4 linked regions of the Drosophila melanogaster genome follow. The protein of the gene in region 1 interacts with the protein of each later gene in a pairwise test. Each region holds a gene or a part of one and is shown in the gene's direction. Other genes may lie near its edges.

What was found.
Region 2: the proteins of yl (region 1) and Mst98Cb interact in a two-hybrid assay, tested with the Drosophila melanogaster proteins (one large-scale study listed by BioGRID).
Region 3: the proteins of yl (region 1) and Zmynd10 interact in a two-hybrid assay, tested with the Drosophila melanogaster proteins (one large-scale study listed by BioGRID).
Region 4: the proteins of yl (region 1) and Mst98Ca interact in a two-hybrid assay, tested with the Drosophila melanogaster proteins (one large-scale study listed by BioGRID).

Annotation. Positions count from the first base shown.
Region 1 is NC_004354.4:14,191,073-14,199,847, forward strand, and holds the start of yl (yolkless), read left to right. Parts: upstream 1-2,141; 5' UTR 2,142-2,306; coding exon 2,307-2,679; intron 2,680-2,940; coding exon 2,941-3,354; intron 3,355-3,425; coding exon 3,426-5,975; intron 5,976-6,037; coding exon 6,038-8,472; coding exon of another isoform or gene 8,473-8,514; exon of another isoform or gene 8,515-8,549; coding exon 8,550-8,732; 3' UTR 8,733-8,775. Other genes in the region: CG13403 (uncharacterized protein), read right to left, coding at 284-652, 807-914. UniProt on the Drosophila melanogaster protein: Cell surface receptor involved in uptake of vitellogenins (yolk proteins) into developing oocytes by receptor-mediated endocytosis. May also mediate uptake of apolpp/apolipophorins and their incorporation into yolk granules.
Region 2 is NT_033777.3:28,290,977-28,295,255, forward strand, and holds Mst98Cb (Male-specific RNA 98Cb), read left to right. Parts: upstream 1-1,821; 5' UTR 1,822-1,938; coding exon 1,939-2,736; 3' UTR 2,737-2,887; downstream 2,888-4,279. Other genes in the region: Mst98Ca (Male-specific RNA 98Ca), read left to right, coding at 483-1,487; UQCR-14L (Ubiquinol-cytochrome c reductase 14 kDa subunit-like), read left to right, coding at 3,158-3,493.
Region 3 is NT_037436.4:13,023,608-13,028,567, reverse strand, and holds Zmynd10 (zinc finger MYND-type containing 10), read left to right. Parts: upstream 1-2,130; 5' UTR 2,131-2,208; coding exon 2,209-2,879; intron 2,880-2,938; coding exon 2,939-3,128; intron 3,129-3,190; coding exon 3,191-3,630; intron 3,631-3,687; coding exon 3,688-3,742; 3' UTR 3,743-3,805; downstream 3,806-4,960. Other genes in the region: RpS12 (ribosomal protein S12), read right to left, coding at 3,931-4,198, 4,702-4,836. UniProt on the Drosophila melanogaster protein: Plays a role in axonemal structure organization and motility. May be involved in axonemal pre-assembly of inner and outer dynein arms (IDA and ODA, respectively) for proper axoneme building for cilia motility.
Region 4 is NT_033777.3:28,288,852-28,293,156, forward strand, and holds Mst98Ca (Male-specific RNA 98Ca), read left to right. Parts: upstream 1-2,486; 5' UTR 2,487-2,607; coding exon 2,608-3,612; 3' UTR 3,613-3,805; downstream 3,806-4,305. Other genes in the region: Mst98Cb (Male-specific RNA 98Cb), read left to right, coding at 4,064-4,305.

The DNA of each region.
Region 1 (8,775 bases):
TCGAAAAAGTTTCTTCAGGATCTGTATCCTGTATTTATAGAACCACTCGCTTCGCCCCAAAAATGTCAAAAAATTAAGATCTTCAATGAGTGGTTTGGAAAATAAGCAACTCCCTCTCCAAATAAATACGCCATGAAATTCGTTATTCGTTATTAAGTATTCGAAAATATTTAGTAGCCATTAAAGAAAATTGCTTAGCCAAGAAAAAAAAAAAAGATTAGAGGAATATATAGTTTGTCTGCTGGCTCCATTGTTGCTGGCCTCCCGAAAACTTGATTAGCGCCTAGTAGACGTAGCCACCATTGCTGCCGTACTTGGTGTCCAATCCATTGTAGCCGGAGTAGCCCGAGTAGCCGGAGTAGCCGGTGTAGCCCGCATTCGCGGGCAAATAGGTGCGCGATGGCGTGGCATAGGTTGTGTACTGCGGCACCGCGTAGTTCTTGTAGCTGGACGAGATGATTGGCGAGGCGTAGCTGCCGCCACCCGAGTAATAACCAGATCCGCTCGAGTACGATGGATACGAGGAGTAACCGGAGGAGTAGCCGGAGTAGCCGCCGCTCAAAGGAGGCAGATAGCTGCGCGACAAATGCGACACATCGCCGGCACAGAAGGCCAAGGAGGCGGCGAAGATGGCGAGTACGGTTACGGAGTTCTGCGGACAAGGAATCGTGGGATTAAAAAGCACTGGGAGTCACTTAAAGTATGCAACGTTGTGCTTTAAAGAGGCTTTGTTCTAAATATATGTTAAAATTTAAAAAATTGCTTGCAAGGAGGAGCATTCAATCACGCTCGTCTTGAGCCCTTACCATTGCGGGAACTTTTGGGTAAGCTCGGTGTGTTGCTTGAGAGGATTGGAATTCCTGTAGCTGTGTATGCACCGGATGGACGCTGGCGATCAACTGTTGCTGATCCATCGACCGAGTGTAGTTTTTATACGCTGGCAAGCGCAAATCGCGATGTGCACCCCAGATACTTTACAACTGATGATTTTAACGCCTTGGCGCGACGGACATGTCGACGGCGGACGGGGCCCATTACTCAACGGGCCAGGCGGTGGCAGGCAACCGGACGGCAGAGTGGTCTCCATAGACTCCATAGAAGTCCCAGATGCTCCGAGAAGTTCGTCATGTTCGCTTGTCATCGCGGCTCGTTCGATGTCCCACGACTCATCCGGCATAGAAGCAACAAATTGTCTCGACGTGGAAAAACCACGTTCGCCTTATGGAGTCCATGCACACGGAGAAAATCTAGTGCTAAGCCAGTATTTTTTCTTATTGGAATAAATATACCAAGACAATGATACAATACAATAAGTAAAATTTGATTGAAGTTGTAAATATTTAATTTCGACTGCATTAAAGTAATATGGGTAAGTTGCCCTAGTTCCATAATTGTTCAGAAATATATGTATGTTCGAATTCTTAGTAAAGAAAATTAAATGTAATATAAGCTGCACCTGCTAATTTCTTCCAGTGTATTCCCAGATTTGGGTTTGGCTTCGCGTTAGTTTTGTTTTTACGAGCGCGGCACGCCCCCTACCGCGTGTGAATTCGAACTCGCACTCGCTCTTTTCCTTAATTATACAAATTTCTGAGTGCTCTTCTGGTTTCTAAGCAATTCAGCAATTCGGGTTTTGTCTCTGATTTTTTATGACATTTGGCGGTTGAGGCGGCCAAAACGCTTCGGTCTTGTTTATCTGTCGTTGCTCATAAATCTTGCGGGCATAACCGTTATTAATTGTTGCAATGGGTCATCCAAATGGGTAAATGTTTCTGTGTCGGTTTCTGTTTCGGATCCCGTCGTTTCCCACTGCAATAATTTGGTTTTTTTTTTTGTAAATTTCCAGACACCGCTGACATCATGAACGGGCAATTAATCACGCTGTATTTGGTGCAATCCTTTTGCGATATTTGATGGTCAAGTTTTTAAATTGATGTCGAACGGCGTTGCCACCCAGGTACGGTATTTGGCATGCACTGGAATAAATTGCTGTGAGCTTTTATGATGAAACTGTTTTCAAATTTGGCGCCTTAAAATATGTAGTTTTAAATACCAATTAAACTATTACCAAACGGTTTATATCGGTGTACAACCATCTGGCATCTGGTCACTCCGAAATAACGGTGCTTTTCCAAAGCCCTGCCCTGATCGACGTGTTCCGTTGGAACCGAACGGTTTTCCTCGTTCAATTCGCTTTCAGCTTTCCAAGCTGCAAGCCATACTTTCTGTTTCCCATTCCCGTTTTAATTTCAATTAACCAGTCCTGCGTGTTAATCATCGTTCAAATTGTGTGTGTTTCGTGTTAAATGTGCCAGGCCGAGCACCAGGTGCACCCCAGCGAGCAAAGGATCCGGGTAGAGAGCCCGAAGATGACCGCCAGCCGGCGAGGATTCAACCTAACCTCGCAGACACGCGCTCACCCATCCAGTGGTGGCTCAACGTCCAGTCGATACGGAAATTGCCAGCGAACACATCTGATCATCAATGGACGCCACGTGGCAATCTCGCTGCTCCTGCTCGTGGGACTTTGCGGTGGTACTGCTGCCGGCACGCCGGGATCAGCGGACACGCGGTGCGATGCGGGACAATTCCAGTGCAGAGACGGCGGCTGCATCTTACAGGCGAAGATGTGCGACGGACGCGGAGACTGCAAGGACAGCTCGGATGAATTGGACTGCGGTGAGCATGGGTGGAATCAATGCCGTCGTTCAGCAGGGGGTGGCTTTAAATGGAGAGGGCATAGCTACTATGGAGTCGGATTAACCAGATTTCTTTAGCTATAATTTTGATGGTTAGGGAATCCTATCTAGAGATGCCACATCCCCATATTCCAATGAATTTACTAGTGAGACTAATATATCCAATAATATATAAACGTGTTGTGACAATCTTATATGTAGTTGAATAACATATAATCTTCATTCCAATCCGGATATCCAGACTACCGACTGTGCCGACCGCCACATTGGTTCCCGTGTGCCCAGCCACACGGAGCCTGCCTGGCAGCGGAACTAATGTGCAACGGCATCGACAACTGTCCCGGCGGCGAGGATGAGCTCAACTGCCCGGTGCGGCCAGGATTCCGATTCGGTGACACCGCTCATCGCATGCGCAGCTGCAGCAAGTACGAGTTCATGTGCCAGCAGGATCGCACCTGCATTCCCATTGATTTCATGTGCGACGGCCGGCCGGATTGCACGGACAAGTCGGACGAGGTGGCTGGCTGCAAGCAGGCGGAGATCACCTGCCCCGGCGAGGGTCACCTGTGCGCCAACGGACGGTGCTTGCGCCGGAAGCAGTGGGTCTGCGATGGCGTTGACGATTGCGGCGATGGAAGCGACGAACGAGGATGCTGTAAGTTAAAATTCTTTGTTGGATACTCCAAGCCTGATGCTCTTGAAACATGCGACTCGGCATCATTTCAGTAAATCTATGTGAGCCACAAAAGGGGAAATTCCTATGCCGGAACCGAGAAACCTGTCTGACCCTGAGCGAAGTGTGCGATGGGCACAGCGACTGTTCCGACGGCAGCGATGAGACCGACCTCTGTCACTCCAAGCCGGACTGCGATGCGAAGAAGTGTGCGCTGGGAGCCAAATGCCACATGATGCCTGCCAGCGGAGCCGAGTGCTTCTGCCCAAAGGGATTCCGGCTGGCTAAATTCGAGGACAAGTGCGAGGACGTTGACGAGTGCAAGGAGCAAGATGATTTGTGCAGCCAGGGATGCGAGAACACATCGGGCGGATATCGATGCGTCTGTGATGCGGGCTATCTGCTGGACAAGGATAATCGTACGTGTCGCGCAGTCGTTTACGGCTCTAAGGAACAGCAGCCCCTTCTGCTGTACACCACCCAGATGACGATTATGGGAATGCATCTGCGCGAGGATAACGTACGAAATCATGTCTACCAGGTGGCCGGGAATCTGAGCAAGGTCATTGGCGTGGCCTACGATGGCAGCCACATCTATTGGACCAACATCCAGAACGAAGCGGAGAGCATTGTGAAGGCTAACGGAGACGGTTCGAATGCGGAAATTTTGCTGACCTCCGGCCTGGATGCACCAGAGGACCTGGCTGTCGATTGGCTGACGCAGAACATTTACTTCTCGGACAACATAATGCGGCACATAGCCGTGTGCTCGAACGATGGACTAAACTGTGCCGTTCTGGTCACCCAGGATGTTCACCAGCCGCGATCACTGGCTGTTTGGCCCCAGAAGGGCTTGATGTTCTGGACGGATTGGGGTGAGAAGCCCATGATAGGGCGCGCATCCATGGACGGCAGTCGGTCGCGACCGATTGTCAGCGATAATATCGAATGGCCCAATGGTATTGCGCTGGACATGCACCAGCAAAGGATCTACTGGGTGGATGCCAAGTTGGGCAGCGTGCAAACGGTTCGACCCGACGGCACTGGTCGGCGCACGGTGCTGGACGGCATGCTGAAGCATCCCTATGGCCTGGCCATATTCGAGGATCAGCTGTACTGGTCAGATTGGGCAACGAAGAGTGTGCATGCGTGTCACAAATTCTCCGGCAAGGATCATCGCATCCTGGCCAAGGATCGTACCATTTACGCCGTACACATCTATCATCCGGCCAAGCAGCCCAACTCGCCGCATGGTTGCGAAAATGCCACATGCTCGCACCTATGCCTGCTGGCCGAACCCGAAATCGGTGGTCACAGCTGCGCCTGTCCGGATGGCATGCGGCTGGCGCCGGATCATCGGCGCTGCATGCTAATGGAGAAGCGCCAACGATTGTTCATTGGCCTCGGTCAGGTGCTGCTCGAGATCGAGCACACCGCCTTTGGGCGCCATCAGGTGAGCAAGTCATACACGCTGCCCTGCTTGATCAACGAAATGGTGTACAATCGCATCAATGGCAGCCTGATAATAGCGGACAATGACCAGCGACTGATCCTGGAGTTTCAGCCAGAGTCGCACGAGAGCAACGTCCTGGTCCGCTCCAATTTGGGCAATGTGAGTGCCCTGGCCTTCGATCATTTGAGCAGGAATCTATACTGGGCGGATACGGAGCGGGCTGTGATTGAGGTGCTCTCACTGCAGACGCGCCATCGTGCGCTGATCCGCTTCTTTCCGGGCCAGGAGGTGCCAATTGGACTCACTGTTATGCCCGCGGAGGGCTATCTGTATGTTGTGCTCAAGGCCAAGCGGCACAGCCACATTGACAAGATACCGCTGAGCGGCAAGGGCGAACAGGTGCATGTATTCGAGGACGATCTGGGCGATGATGATATCAAGCTGGTCACCGATTACGAGACCCAAACGATCTTTTGGTCAGACAGCGATCTGGGCAGGATTAGCTACTCGAATTACAGGGTGCCGCACAGCCAAATCTTTCGGGGCAAGCTTAGGCGTCCCTATAGCCTGGCCATGGTGCATCACGATCTGTTTTGGAATGAATTGGGTACGCCAAGGATTTACTGGACGCACAAGAGCAATATGGGGCCGCGAAAGGTGATCGATATAATGGAGAAGGACGATCCGGCCGCCATTATGCCGTACGTGCCTGTGGCCACGCCCAATGGAATTCCGCTGGCCGCCAGCTCACCCGTCGGCCAGGAATCGCATCCCTGCCAGCAGCAGAATGGCGGCTGTTCGCACATCTGTGTGGGCGAGGGACCCTACCACTCGATCTGTCTATGTCCGGCCGGATTCGTTTACCGGGATGCGGGTAACCGCACCTGCGTGGAGGCTCTGGACTGTGAGTTCCGTTGCCACAGTGGCGAGTGCCTCACAATGAATCACCGTTGCAACGGACGACGCGATTGCGTGGACAATTCGGATGAGATGAACTGCGACGAGGAGCATCGGCGCAAGCCAAAGGTTCTGTGCTCGCCCAACCAATTCGCCTGCCACAGCGGGGAGCAGTGCGTCGACAAGGAGCGGCGATGCGACAATCGCAAGGATTGCCACGACCATTCGGATGAGCAGCACTGCGAGAAGTTCGGTAAGCGAAACGAGCTGCACTTGGTGGATAATTTGAATTTGAATACTCTCTCTACTCCACAGACAAGAGCAAGAAGTGCCATGTCCATCAGCACGGGTGCGACAATGGAAAGTGCGTGGACTCGAGCCTGGTGTGCGATGGAACCAATGATTGCGGCGATAATTCCGACGAATTGCTGTGCGAGGCGACATCGCGATGCGAACCGGGAATGTTCCAGTGCGGCAGCGGATCCTGCATAGCGGGCAGCTGGGAGTGCGACGGGCGGATCGATTGTAGCGACGGATCCGACGAGCACGACAAGTGTGTCCATCGCAGCTGTCCGCCGGACATGCAGCGCTGTCTGTTGGGTCAGTGTCTGGACCGGAGTCTGGTGTGCGATGGCCACAACGACTGTGGCGATAAGTCCGACGAACTGAATTGCGGCACGGACTCATCCACGATGAACATATCCTGCGCGGAAGATCAATACCAATGCACGAGCAATCTCAAGATCTGTCTGCCGTCTACGGTTCGCTGCAATGGCACCACCGAGTGTCCGCGCGGCGAGGATGAGGCCGATTGCGGTGATGTGTGCAGCATATATGAGTTCAAGTGCCGCTCCGGTCGAGAGTGCATCCGGCGGGAGTTCCGCTGCGATGGCCAGAAGGACTGCGGCGACGGCAGTGACGAGTTGAGCTGCGAACTGGAAAAGGGCCATCACAATCAGAGCCAAATTCAGCCGTGGAGCACCTCGAGCCGATCCTGTCGGCCACATCTCTTCGATTGTCAAGACGGCGAGTGCGTGGACTTGTCGCGGGTATGCAACAATTTCCCGGACTGTACCAACGGCCACGACGAGGGACCCAAGTGCGCCACCGCCTGCCGTTCGGCATCGGGTCGCCAGGTGTGCCAGCACAAGTGCCGCGCCACACCAGCCGGCGCCGTGTGCTCCTGCTTCGATGGCTATCGCCTGGACGCGGATCAGAAGAGCTGTTTAGACATTGACGAGTGCCAGGAGCAGCAGCCATGCGCTCAGCTATGCGAGAATACCCTCGGCGGCTATCAGTGCCAGTGCCATGCGGACTTTATGCTGCGCCAGGATCGCGTTAGCTGCAAGAGCCTGCAGTCTGGCGCCACTCTGCTCTTCAGCAGCTTCAACGAAGTGCGAAACCTAAGCGAACAGCCCGTTATGCTCAATGTGGCCTGGTCGGCGAATGATTCGAGGATCACCGGTTTCGATCTGGCCATGCACCGGCAAATGGGTTACTTTTCCGCCGAGGACGAGGGCATCGTCTATCAGATCGATCTGCAAACGAAGGTGATTGTGCGGGCTCTGGGTCTGCCCGCACCGACGAAACTCTCCGTGGATTGGGTCACCGGAAATGTTTATGTGCTCAGTGGAGCGCAGGAGATCCAAGCGTGCAGTTTCGTGGGACGCATGTGCGGCCGCATTGTGCACGTGAAGAGTCCCAGGCACGTTAAGCATTTGGCTGTGGATGGCTATCACGCCCGGATCTTCTACATAGTCATACGCACCGAGGGCTATGGCCAGACGAGCTCGGAGATTCACATGGCTCGACTGGACGGCAGTCGCAGGGATATGCTGCTGCAGCGAAGCGAAAGCTTCATGACCGCCCTGACCACCGATCCGCATCAGCAGCTATTGTACTTTGTGGACCAGCATATGCGCACGCTGGAGAGGATTAGCTATAGGCTTAAAACGGGTCCCATGCGTCGACCGGAGATAATGCTGCAAAAGTCCAACGCTCTGATGCATCCATCTGGGCTGAGTGTGTACGAAAATAATGCGTTCATCGTGAACCTGGGCTCCGTGGAGGCGGTGCAGTGCGCACTGTACGGATCCCGCATCTGTCACAAGATCAGCATTAACGTGCTGAACGCCCAGGACATTGTGGTGGCGGGCAGGTCGCGTCAGCCGCAGAAGGCGTCGCATCCATGCGCCCATGCCCACTGCCATGGACTGTGCCTGCAGGCGGACTACGGTTACGAATGCATGTGTGGCAATCGTCTGGTGGCCGAAGGCGAACGGTGTCCCCATGGCTCTGGCAATGAGGTGGCCGTGTTGGGTGCGGTCAACAGCCTGGAATTGGAACATGAACACGAGCAGAACGGTCACTTTCACTGGCTGATGGCACTGTTCGTCCTAGCCGCCGGATCACTGATCGCCGGACTCGGGTACATGTACTATCAGTACCGGCAGCGCGGCCACACGGATCTCAACATTAACATGCATTTCCAGAATCCGCTGGCGACGCTCGGCGGCACCAAAGCGTTCCTGGAGCACGAACGCGCCGAGGCGGGAGTCGGCTTCACCACGGAAACGGGAACGGTGTCCAGCCGCGGCAGCAACGACACATTCACCACCACCAGCGCCACGTCCTCGTTCGCGGCTCAGCAGTTTAGTGTGCCGAATGCGCTCCAGCGACTGCTCCGTCCACGACAGTCGGCGTCCGGCGATCCGATGGCTCAGGAATTGCTTCTCGAGAGCCCCAGCAGAGTGAGTAGCGATGGGGGTCAGATGGCCGTGGAAGATATGTGACGATTGCCCCCTTACTACTATCGTCTGCTCAACAGGAAAGCAAACTACATGCGCTGGACGGAGGTGGGGCCGGAGGCGATGGCGATGGCGGACGCGGAGTTGGGCGGCAGGTGCCGGACATCCTGGTGGCTGACATGGACGACGATGCCGCCAAATCAGCCGGACAGTTCGGGGGAAATTACGCAGGCAATGATGCGAATGCACGATTTGTGTCGTAAATGAGTGGCAGTGGTTATTTATTTATTTTATTATTGCTGCTGT
Region 2 (4,279 bases), on another chromosome or scaffold:
AGCGGCCTGCCTACATAAAGGCGCTAGCATATTAAAGGCTTAAACCCACTCAACGGCAGATGCCATATTGTTGAAATATATGCAGATACGTCGCGCATACGTCATGTGAAGATGGAATCCGGTTTGCAAAATGCATTCCATTCAAGCAGCGTTCTGTGATTTTTCATTGCAATCGGTTAAGCAATCGAATCCACCAGATTTATGTATTGTAAGCATATATTTCCATTCAAAGCTCAAAGCGATTTTCACCTTACCTGCACAACAAAAACACTACACTAGGGTGTGATCGTAGAGCTCGGTTTTTCAAATTTCGATCGAAGTGGGCCTGGATTATTGTGCAATGCTGTCGTCCTACTGTTATATCTCATTCAGTTTCCTGTTTCGCTCCGAATAACTTCCAAATTGAACAGTAAAAATTTGTAACAAAAATAAAGTATAATATTTTTCTAGAAATTTTATTTTGGAAAACTTAAGTCGAAAACATGTGCTCTCCGTGCGGTCCTTGTAGTCCATGCGATCCCTGCTGCGGTCCCTTCGAGTGCTCACCCAAGTGCTATAATGCCGCCCAATTGGAGGCCTTGCCACAATGTGCTCCACGTATTCCACCTCCCTTCCCCAAATGCATCACCGTGCAGCAACCACCACGCATGATCTGCAAGAAACGCGTGGTGTTCACGGAGAAGATTGTGCCGGAGCCAATGGTGGTTAACCGATGCAGACAGATTACCATTCCAAAGGTCGTTGATGCCACGCGGGTGATCAAGGTGCCCAAGCTGATTTGGGTGTCGCAGATGGTGCGAGAACCCAGAGTAATCTACTACCCCTCGATGATCCCCGATCCCTATGTGGTGTGCTATCCCAAGCGCGTCTGCGAACCCCGGGAGGTGTGTCAGTCGATCCTGTGCCAGCCGAAGCCACAGACCATCGACATTCCGCCGCCAAGGGAGTACTGCTGCTATCCAAATGGACCCATCAACTACAAGCCCAGTGCAGCGTGCCCACCCTGCCCCATTGGACCATGTGCTCCTGGAGGACCCTGCTGTCCGCTGCCCTGCTTCTCCACAAACCAGTATCCCGTTGCCGAGGGTAGGTGCGGACCCTGTGGACCTTGCGGTCCAGGATGCGGACCCTGCGGTCCGCGATGTGGTCCCTGCGGACCCGGCCCGTGCGGACCCTGTGGGCCGAGATGCGGTCCGGGTGGACCGTGCGCCGTGCCCAATTGCGGGCCCTGCGGCCTCACAATGCCGTCGGGTCCGTTTGTCCCGGCTCCGTGTGGACCCTGTGCTCCATGCGGGCCATGTGGACCGCTCGGCAATAGTCCTTGCGGTCCTTGCGGACCCTGCGGACCCTGTTCGCCCCCGTGTCCGTACGAGTCACCCGAGTGCGGCCCCTGCTACCCGTGCGCCCCAACTCCCTGGAATACCCACTGCGGCCCAGTTGGTCCTTGCGGTCCTCAAGTGCCTTGTGGACCCAGCGGCCCCTGTTAACATCATCGTTGTGCTGCCTGGATTGTTGTCAGAAACCGGTGCCCAGTGGACCAACTTGTCTATCACCAATACAGATTGCCATAGTGTATTCTCGCCGTTCTGCTCAAACACCACCAAAAAAGTCTACAGTTCTCTATACTTTGTCAACGCATGGACGACTCATTGGCTGTAAATAAAAATCGGATTTATGCATATATAAGGTTTTTTCAATTTCTTTTGACAGGTTATGCAATGGTTTCTATCCAGATAAAATTTTCTACCAAATTTTTGTCAAATAGTAGGCCTTGCCTCTGCTTGTCAATCTACCTATGTTCGTTACTCAGGCTTAGCTCGCATTTTGAATCCGGTTTCGCTTCGATACACTTCTAAATTTCTCTGATCAAATTTTATAAGAAACAAAAAACAAAAATTAACTTTTTACTCTTTCGGTTTATTCTAGTCGAAACTTAAAATGTGCTCTCCGTGCGGTCCTTGTAGTCCATGCGATCCCTGCTGCGGTCCCTTCGAGTGCTCACCCAAGTGCTACAATGCCGCCCAATTGGAGGCCTTGCCACAATGTGCTCCACGTATTCCACCACCCTTCCCCAAATGCATCACCGTGCAGCAACCACCACGCATGATCTGCAAGAAACGCGTTGTGTTCACGGAGAAGATTGTGCCGGAGCCAATGGTGGTTAACCGATGCAGGCAGATCACCATTCCAAAGGTCGTTGATGCCACGCGGGTGATCAAGGTGCCCAAGCTGATTTGGGTGTCGCAGATGGTGCGAGAACCCAGAGTAATCTACTACCCCTCGATGATCCCCGACCCCTATGTGGTGTGCTATCCCAAGCGCGTCTGCGAACCACGTGAGGTGTGTCAGTCGATCCTCTGCCAGCCGAAGCCCCAAACCATCGACATTCCGCCGCCGAGGGAGTACTGCTGCTATCCAAATGGACCCATCAACTACAAGCCCAGTGCAGCGTGCCCACCCTGCCCCATTGGACCATGTGCTCCTGGAGGACCCTGCTGTCCGCTGCCCTGCTTCTCCACAAACCAATACCCAGTGGCTGAGGGCAGATGCGGACCATGTGGACCCTGTGGACCCGGATGCGGACCTTGCGGACCCTGCGGACCTTGGGGACCAGGATGCGGTCCTTGCGGACCCTGTGGACCCTGCGGACCCTTCGGACCAGGCTGTGGTCCATGCGGACCGTGTGGACCCTGCGGACCTGGCCCTTGTGGCTTCGGTCCTTGCGGACCATGCTGATCTGTAAAACAGCTGGAAAGATCTACTTGACGTCTGCCAAAAACATTTTGTGACAACTCCGCGTTATGGAAGTCCACATCCGCGCTCAATTATATGACAGTCCAAATTAACTTTGCAAGTTTTGTAAATTAAAGAAGTGCATTGATACAATATTTAAACCACATTTTTTCTTCGGGCATTTGTTTCGGAAATTTCGTTGTTTCATTGCATTTAATATGCTATGTATTTTTCAGATAACGAAAGTTGAGATTCGGGATTTTTGTTTCGAAAGGCCTGTTGGGGAATTTTTATTTTATTTTATTATTATTTTAAAAACTCATACTTGTTAGTTCACCAGTGTAGCCCTGAGTCACCTGTCAGCTTGTGGACTTACTGGTAATAGTTGTAGTAGTCATATCCAAATTATTCTTGATCTTAAATCATGTCGAAATATGTGGCTAGAGTGGGCCCAGCGGTTTTCTCCAAGTTGGGAAAGTGGGCCTACAACATGTCTGGATTCAACCAATACGGCCTGTATCGCGATGACTGTCTGTACGAGAATGAGGATGTGGCAGAAGCAGTGCGTCGTCTGCCCCGCAAACTGTACGATGAACGCAACTATCGCATTCTTCGAGCACTGCACCTTTCCATGACCAAGACGATCCTGCCCAAGGAGCAGTGGACCAAGTACGAGGAGGACATCAAGTACTTGGAGCCCTATCTTAACGAAGTGCAAAAGGAGCGCGAAGAGCGTGAGGAATGGAGCAAAACTCATTGATCCGGATACTTCGGTTACAAAGAATGTCATAACCAAAACATAAAGGTTATTTAAATAAATCGTTAATATAAATAGGCATAGAAAAAAAAACAACTTTAATTATCTGGTTTTAATATCATAACATCTAATATCACTTTATCGCCAGCTTTTTTTAAGCGCGTCTCTCAATATCGTCAGCCGTTTAAAAATCCCCTGCGATCCACAGCAATGTCAACGCAAATAATTTTCGCATTAAGTGCATTCGCATAAATACAATATATGAAATTCATTAACAGCGAATACAATACAAATTAGTGCTGCTGGGTGGGGCGTGAGCCGCCCATTGAACATGTGTATGCCGCCCCACGATTTAAAATGACAGTGGAGGAGTGGGCGTGGCAGCGTCAGCGGCAAACAAAATGCGTGTGCATGGCCCGCACATCCTGTCAATCCTCGTATACTTATGCGCATCCTGTTTAAAATGCAGCAAACAGCAACAATGCAGTTGCAGTTGCGATTGCCGTTGCAGATGCAGATACTTTCGCAGTCGTATATATCTGCATCTCTGCCGCTGTCTGATTGTTCTGGCGCTGCCATTCGACCGGAAGAAATTATTGTTATTCGAATTGATCTGCCATAGTTTCGATTTCGATGTTGGCCACTGCGATAGGCAATGCTCCTGCCATGGAGCGATATCGCTGCGTCTGCGGCCAGTAACTGCCAGAGTTCTGATAACGTCAACGCAGGAGGATGCAGCAAACGTAATGGTTACCCTGTAATGTTAAGGGCTGAAGGTATGTAACGCTG
Region 3 (4,960 bases), on another chromosome or scaffold:
CAATGTCTCATATACTTTTTAAAATTCGAGAATATAGTAAGATCAGACTCTAAACAGATTTAAGGTTTGTTAGGATATATTACGATCTCATTATCAAGTGGATCTTATGATTTAAATTATTAGGATATATGATTTAAATTATTAATGTAGCTAAGTAGTATTAATATAAAAGAAGACTAAGGAGGCTGCCATCTTAGACTTTAATGTTTGACTTTAAAAAGAAAAATGGTTTCAAGGCACTATACACATGGAATTTTGGCATGAACAGCATTTGGGATCACATCCTCTAGGCTCTAAACTTCTCCTTCTATGGCTATCACTGCCTGCTGAGTCATGGGTGATCCAACTGCCATTATTTGTCGGGGCTGAGGACGAGCCCGCGGTAAAGGTGGATCCAGATGAAGGGATCGCATTAGTGCCGAGCAGCACCCGCAGAAGATGAGGCAAATGCAGCAGACACAGCAGAAAATAATTGACGTAACTACAAGGATCGGAAACAATATTAGTCCAATGCCTCTTATCATGTTTCCAATAAATTTTTTCCGTCAAAATCTGTTTCAAATCTGTATCTGTTTGAAGTTAAAATATCAGATCATAAAGATGGCATGATGTTCACTGATCACTCCACATACACTTCATTGTGATCAAATCGGATGCCATCTGCCATTTTGTTTGCAACCAAAGCCAACTCATACATAATCTTGTTTAAATATTGAGATGAGAGAGGAGGAGGAACTGTTTTATTGTTAAATGATTTAATTGAACAAACTTCTGTGACTTATAGAACCTAATCTTTATTTTACAGGGAGTCCATGGACATTTGTGACAGAAAGATCTAAGAGGGTCAAAACAAATTATAAAGCTTATACATTTTTAAATCACTTAATATTTCAGATTTTTAGAGTCTAATTGTTAATAATAATGTGAAAAACTTAATATTAAATGGATATGACAATACTCGCGGGAAGGGGTTTCCATCTTCATACGAATCTGAAAGCATTGCAAACCGACTTATCGGTTAATTGGTTATCGATTAATGGCATTGCGCAATCGCGCATTCTGTAAATGCCCATCGCTCCATTTCTTTCACTTCGTCTGGCAATTAAAAGGCGCTTTTCATTTTCTTTTGGGAAAGTTATCAAGCTATATTCGTTTCAATTCGTTTCGGTTATTATCGAAAAATGAAGAAAACGCCGAAAGGCCACAGAAACTTTCATAGTGGTCGTAACTTTTTCCCCATCGGCCAAACGACATTTGAAGTCAATTGTCGTCGCGTCGTGCAGAAAAAGCGTTCGACCGTCGCTACGTATATAAATAAAATTAAATTACTACTAACAATTGAAACAAACGCACTGCCACAAAGAAAACGAAAGAAATATTGTTTGTCCCCCACGAAACATGAGACCCCCATGATCCCCCCACCTGCCCCATCCGCACATCTCCATCCTCGCATCACACGCTACGCATGCGCAGTGTCAACGCAACTTTTCAGCGAAAGTGACTGAACGAGTTCCAATTGTCCACGGCCGACGCTCCAAACGCCTTTATCGGTGGCCAACAATCAAGTGGCCTGCCGTAATATGTAGCTGCCAAAATAAATGAAAACGAAATGCCTGCGGACTGACTGCTGCCAAAAACCAGGCATGTTTTCCAAAAAGGTTACTAACTCTTTACGTCTAGACTTTAGACTGCTAGACTGCCCATATTAGCATAGGTAGCTTTCAAATTCTGCAGCTCATTCATTTTCTATTTCACCAAACTATCTTAACTATGATATAATGTCAATAGTATAAGTAACATATGGAGGATACTTACATTTACATTACATTTTAATAGTTTAACATCATCCTATAACACCTATTAGTTCTCAGTTTTATTTTCTAGCTTATTTTCTTTTAACACCATTTTAGAAAAGGCATACAAATATGCCAAATTTTCACTTTTTTAAAGACCTTTTAAGCATGTTCAGTTTGCTCTGATAATTGGTATACCAGAAGATTGGCATTCAAATTTAACGTTAAAACTACATATCTTAGATATGTTTTATTTATTAAGAGAATCCTAGCAACCTGTGACTGCCATGACAACCTAAAATAATAATTTAACTCAGTCCCCAGTCTTTCGTTAGTCGTCAGTCTTAGCAAAACAAGCCGGATAAAACGTGTTTTGAAATATCCGAAAAAATATTAAAATCAGTATAAAAACAAAATGGTAAACTTTGTGCACCCCGAGGAAATGTATCTCTTTGTGGAGAGCATTCGTCCATTTGAGGTGCGTGAGGTGGGCAGCCCGAAGTGGCTGGAGGTGCACGAGATGATCCTCGGGCTGAGCCAGCAGGCCGCCTTGGAGCTGTCCCAGAATCGCGAGGAGGAGGTGAAGGAGTTCCTCATCTCGCGCGACAAGCTACGCGTGCTGATCCACGAAGCCTATTGCGTAACGTTGTGGAAGACGCGTGTTCTGCCGCATCTGCTGGAGATTGATCCCAATCCGCAGGCCACGTTCCTTATCTACACGGTGCTATATCACGAGGCTGCTTTGGTAGCGCTTCTGGATGTGTGCCTCTACCATCCGAGTGGCTGTGAGACGCTGCAGGAGTCCGTGCTGGATTTGATTGACTATTGCGCCCAGGCCATTTCCCAGGTCATTGGCTTGGTTAGCATGGGTTACCACGAGAACGAGACAAAGCTGGACGTGGATGAGGCAGTGCTCACGGAGCTGGAGCGCCAGAAGCGCGACTTTATCTATAAGATTGGACTGCGCTGCATCTCAGTGCTGAACTACATAGCAGATAATGTGACATTGTTTCATCTAAGCGCCGCACGCCGTTTGCTGGTGACCCATGACATTCCGTGGCTCATGGCAGATGTGCTTAGCTTCCGGTGAGCAGCACGGATAAGTGAGTTTTTTTTTATATTTTACACATTTCTCCTCGTTTTAGTCCGTGGCAGAGAAAGACCAGCAAGGGCATTCAGAAGTTCATCGACGAGAAGTGGACCAATGTGGACGACGTCACCAAGATTGTCAAGCCAGAGGCGCAGGCCTGGTTTTGTGTGCGTCAGCTGCTCCTTAATCCTCAGATCATGGAGAACTATGCTTTCAACGAGGCACGCTGCAAGCAGTTACACAAGGTTAGTTGCCACCTACATATATCTATGATTAATGCGCTGACTTACCAAGCTGACTTCCTTAGCTTTTGGGTCTCATGCACGAGCCGTTGCTGGACCAGCTGCCGCCACTTATAGAGCTAAAGGTGTTCCTCAGCCGCCTGACGCTCAGCGGCAATACGGCCAAGACACAGCCGCTCTTGCTGGAGGACATTCCGCAGATCCAGGAGGAACTGCTCAAGGATGTCGAGGAAAATGGCGGCTTCTATCAGATTGCCCAGGATCAGGACTCGGTTTTCCTTAGCAAGAACAAGGAAAACATCTGCGCTTTGGCCACTCGCCTCAGCAAAGCCTACGGCACGGACTTGCTCTGTGAACTGGAGCAGAATATGGATGATCTCAAGATGGGCGAAGCAAAGGATGCCGGCGCTGGTGGCGATGGAGATACGGACCATACTTGCGCCACTTGCCAGGCGAAGGCCAAAAAGAAGTGTGCCTGCTGCAAGAAGGTGCACTACTGCTCCCGGTGGGTTGGACGCAACTTTTGCGGAGTTCGCTTCTTCTATAATATTTTTTCTTTCAGTGATTGTCAGCTCAAGGATTGGCCACAGCACAAGCTCGTCTGCCTTAAAACTTAATTGTGACCCAGCGTCTAGTATACAAAATAATTTTTTCAATATAATAGAACATTCCAAAAATGTAAAAAGGTCGACTTTCTTTTATTTTTTCATCTGGATTCAGGTTCAATACGTTTTATTTTCAATTAGCGAATAGCTTAAAAAGAACTTTCACGTAGTCTCTCATTCAGCAGGCAGTGCGCAGCTGTTTAGCTGTTCTGCCTGAGATGGTCCTTAACCACGTCCAAAGCGGGTGTCTCCTCACCGAAATCCTTGATCACGACCACGGAGCAGCCGCACACCTTGCGGGGCTTGCCCTCCTTGTCGATCTTGCACAGACCGGACCATTCGCCCAGCTTCTTGTGCGAGTCCACGCGGATAAGGGGGATCTGGTGCTCGTTGCACAGGGCGGTAACCAGCTTCTTGTAGTTGGGCTCGTCGAAGGACTCGGCTAGGATGCACAGAACAGCCTGACGCCTGTTGGTAAAACAATATATTGTAATTAGGAATGGTTTTTTTTCATACAATGCAACTCGATACGCTGTCATTTGCTCAGTAATTGGAAGGTTTTTAATCAATATAAATTCATAAACACGGACCAATTAATTTCATCACAGTCAGAACAGCAAAATCAAGATGATTTAATGTGGAAACACACTTGGGATTTATCTTTAATGCACTTAGTGGATTATTATAAATATCATTACGATTAATAAACGATTAAAAAATTCAAGGAGGAAATAAGATTCATTTCCTGAAAATAGGTTAAGTTGAATGAAGACCCACACTTTTTAAAACGTGGTCTATGTATTTCAAATGATTTGAACTGAAATATATATTTCTATCAATCATATAGATTGCTTTCAACTATAGAATGGTCGACTTTGAAATATATTACTATAGCTTTTACCCTTTCGCATTTTGCATCTAAGAGCCCAAGTGAATAACCACGTTGACCGCCAGATTGTGGGACTACTTACTTGTCCAGGGCCTTGCAGGCCTGGTGGATGCCATGGACGAGTCCATCGGCGATCAGGGACTTCTTCAAGACCTCCTGGAGGGCAGTGTTAATGTCCATGGCGCCATCGAGCACAGGGGCAGCGGAGGGAACATCACTAGATCGGAAAAACATATACTATTAGCAATCAACGCCACATGCCATGCCGCATTACACAAAACTCGACTTAGCCTTGCTTGGTCAGTAATTGGAGAATTTATAATCAATGGAAATTCATAAAC
Region 4 (4,305 bases), on another chromosome or scaffold:
AAGTTAAGCAAACATCAAAGTAGAAATAATCGTGAAAAAAATATTTTACCTGCAGCTATGAATTTTAATATACTGTTCATGTTTTTTATTTGTCCCAAAGAATACCTACTCATACCTACTTTTATTACACTTTTAAAAGTCGTACATTTAACATCAATTTTGAGAGTATAAATATATATTACCAATTATTCAAGTTAAAAAAAATGCTACTTCTTATTTCTCAGTGTATTTGAATGGCATTGCGTTTTATTTGTCATTTCCGGTTTGTGCCGGAAGTTAAAATTATTGAAATCAAACGGAAATGCATCGAAGCAAATGCGTAAAAAAGCGGGAGCCGAAAAATATGATTAACCCATTTAAAATTATGGCAAATATTTGAATTGATTCTCAGACCTTATTAAAAGTGTTATGTCATTAAATTTCTCATTTAACTTGTATGTATATTTATGTATATAAATGGAGTTAAGATTTCGAACCGCTAATAATTTAAAATACAATAATATTATTCACGTCTGCGCTTCAGTAGGTTAAGTCCCGACTCCGATAGAACAACGATCCATCAGCGTATATGTCTGTGAATATATATATGCTGTGCGCAGCCCATAAATAAATATATAAATTTAAATAAAGGCCGCCGCAATACCCGCACACTCACAGTTTGTTTGTCAATAAATCAGAATACTTATCAACGTCAAAGTACCGCAAAGAATGTGAGCAAACAATAAGAACTAAATGTGTGTGTGTTTCAGGAGGTCCATCAGTTTATTGGGAACTATTAAAGTTATTTATGAAAATAAATGGAATACCTACAACTTAAAAATAAAACCTTTCATTGAGCTACAAACATTTCTACACAGTGCCTAAATTATTCGACAAATGCGCCTCTATCTTGACTCCAGCAGGCATTGTGGGTGCCAATTTATGGGCAATCTGTGCTTATTTTCCCATTTCCCAGCCCAACATTGTTTTGGGCCTAGTCCCGAACTAAGTCCGCTAATTGCGCCGCCTTAGCCGGGCCATCTCGACCGGGTTTCGGGGAAGGCCCCGTCCATAATTATGCGAAATGTGCGCCATTTCTTCGGACTGTTGCCTGTTATTGTTTGCATTATTAGCTGACAATTTCGGTGGCACTGTGATGCCAAGTGGTGGGTCTGTGATTAGGCCGGCTCTTTGGGCTCTGGAAATTGTGGGATTAGCAGGCGCTTTGTCTGTGGCTAGAATCTTGGTCGGGCACCATCAGCCTGTCGCTCGATAAGCGCTCCAGGGCAACTCGAGTCCAAGAAGTTGATGTTTTTCTTGCATGATTACGACCATAAGCCAACGGCGTGTTATTGCAGGCCAAAGAAGTGGACGGTTTTCTTGGGAAACGCCCGAGTTCAAATCGATTGAACCAATGTTGCTCTTTAAATTGGTTTAATTTAGACATTTATTGTATCTCAACTTCCTGGAAGCAACTTGATTAAATTTCCTAATTTAAATAACCGGAACTATTGGACAGCAACTAATTCTGAAGAGCAAAGGCCATCTAAAATATCGCTTGATTTCTTAGCTATCACTAATGTGACTATCAATTCGAGGAAATGAAATTTTGTAGAATTAATAAAAGTCGTGTGTTATTAAGAAAATATTAAAACGTATTATATTTATTGTTTGAATACCAGAACGTTTCTTATTCCGAGCACATATTGTAGCGTTTGCCCCTCGCTTTTGGCATTTAAAATGGAGCAAATATTTTAGAATTCACCTGAATCGCATGCAAAAGCCTTTGTCAACATCAATGGTCCGCTGTGACCACGCTCTTTGTTGTAGTTTTTTGTGAATGCGCAATTGTTCAGTGTCGTCATGGCTGTGGCATGCACAAAGCGCCGATTGCAACGCCCATCCATCCACCCAGCAACCCCCCCCCCCCCCCACCTACTAAAGCTTTCAGGATATGCCATCCAACTACCAACTACCATACCGACCAAAACGCTTTTTTTTCGGCGCTGACATGTCCAGGCACTGGGGCAAAAACAAACCCATATATGTATATTCAATAGGCCGGGCGCTGCCAGAGTGTTTTCCGACGTTTTTCTGTAATTCGTTGTAGGTTTTTTCCAAGTTGGCTTTCGGCCGGTCCGAAAAAAGCGGCCTGCCTACATAAAGGCGCTAGCATATTAAAGGCTTAAACCCACTCAACGGCAGATGCCATATTGTTGAAATATATGCAGATACGTCGCGCATACGTCATGTGAAGATGGAATCCGGTTTGCAAAATGCATTCCATTCAAGCAGCGTTCTGTGATTTTTCATTGCAATCGGTTAAGCAATCGAATCCACCAGATTTATGTATTGTAAGCATATATTTCCATTCAAAGCTCAAAGCGATTTTCACCTTACCTGCACAACAAAAACACTACACTAGGGTGTGATCGTAGAGCTCGGTTTTTCAAATTTCGATCGAAGTGGGCCTGGATTATTGTGCAATGCTGTCGTCCTACTGTTATATCTCATTCAGTTTCCTGTTTCGCTCCGAATAACTTCCAAATTGAACAGTAAAAATTTGTAACAAAAATAAAGTATAATATTTTTCTAGAAATTTTATTTTGGAAAACTTAAGTCGAAAACATGTGCTCTCCGTGCGGTCCTTGTAGTCCATGCGATCCCTGCTGCGGTCCCTTCGAGTGCTCACCCAAGTGCTATAATGCCGCCCAATTGGAGGCCTTGCCACAATGTGCTCCACGTATTCCACCTCCCTTCCCCAAATGCATCACCGTGCAGCAACCACCACGCATGATCTGCAAGAAACGCGTGGTGTTCACGGAGAAGATTGTGCCGGAGCCAATGGTGGTTAACCGATGCAGACAGATTACCATTCCAAAGGTCGTTGATGCCACGCGGGTGATCAAGGTGCCCAAGCTGATTTGGGTGTCGCAGATGGTGCGAGAACCCAGAGTAATCTACTACCCCTCGATGATCCCCGATCCCTATGTGGTGTGCTATCCCAAGCGCGTCTGCGAACCCCGGGAGGTGTGTCAGTCGATCCTGTGCCAGCCGAAGCCACAGACCATCGACATTCCGCCGCCAAGGGAGTACTGCTGCTATCCAAATGGACCCATCAACTACAAGCCCAGTGCAGCGTGCCCACCCTGCCCCATTGGACCATGTGCTCCTGGAGGACCCTGCTGTCCGCTGCCCTGCTTCTCCACAAACCAGTATCCCGTTGCCGAGGGTAGGTGCGGACCCTGTGGACCTTGCGGTCCAGGATGCGGACCCTGCGGTCCGCGATGTGGTCCCTGCGGACCCGGCCCGTGCGGACCCTGTGGGCCGAGATGCGGTCCGGGTGGACCGTGCGCCGTGCCCAATTGCGGGCCCTGCGGCCTCACAATGCCGTCGGGTCCGTTTGTCCCGGCTCCGTGTGGACCCTGTGCTCCATGCGGGCCATGTGGACCGCTCGGCAATAGTCCTTGCGGTCCTTGCGGACCCTGCGGACCCTGTTCGCCCCCGTGTCCGTACGAGTCACCCGAGTGCGGCCCCTGCTACCCGTGCGCCCCAACTCCCTGGAATACCCACTGCGGCCCAGTTGGTCCTTGCGGTCCTCAAGTGCCTTGTGGACCCAGCGGCCCCTGTTAACATCATCGTTGTGCTGCCTGGATTGTTGTCAGAAACCGGTGCCCAGTGGACCAACTTGTCTATCACCAATACAGATTGCCATAGTGTATTCTCGCCGTTCTGCTCAAACACCACCAAAAAAGTCTACAGTTCTCTATACTTTGTCAACGCATGGACGACTCATTGGCTGTAAATAAAAATCGGATTTATGCATATATAAGGTTTTTTCAATTTCTTTTGACAGGTTATGCAATGGTTTCTATCCAGATAAAATTTTCTACCAAATTTTTGTCAAATAGTAGGCCTTGCCTCTGCTTGTCAATCTACCTATGTTCGTTACTCAGGCTTAGCTCGCATTTTGAATCCGGTTTCGCTTCGATACACTTCTAAATTTCTCTGATCAAATTTTATAAGAAACAAAAAACAAAAATTAACTTTTTACTCTTTCGGTTTATTCTAGTCGAAACTTAAAATGTGCTCTCCGTGCGGTCCTTGTAGTCCATGCGATCCCTGCTGCGGTCCCTTCGAGTGCTCACCCAAGTGCTACAATGCCGCCCAATTGGAGGCCTTGCCACAATGTGCTCCACGTATTCCACCACCCTTCCCCAAATGCATCACCGTGCAGCAACCACCACGCATGATCTGCAAGAAACGCGTTGTGTTCACGGAGAAGATTGTGCCGGAGCCAATGGTGGTTAACCGATGCAGGCAGAT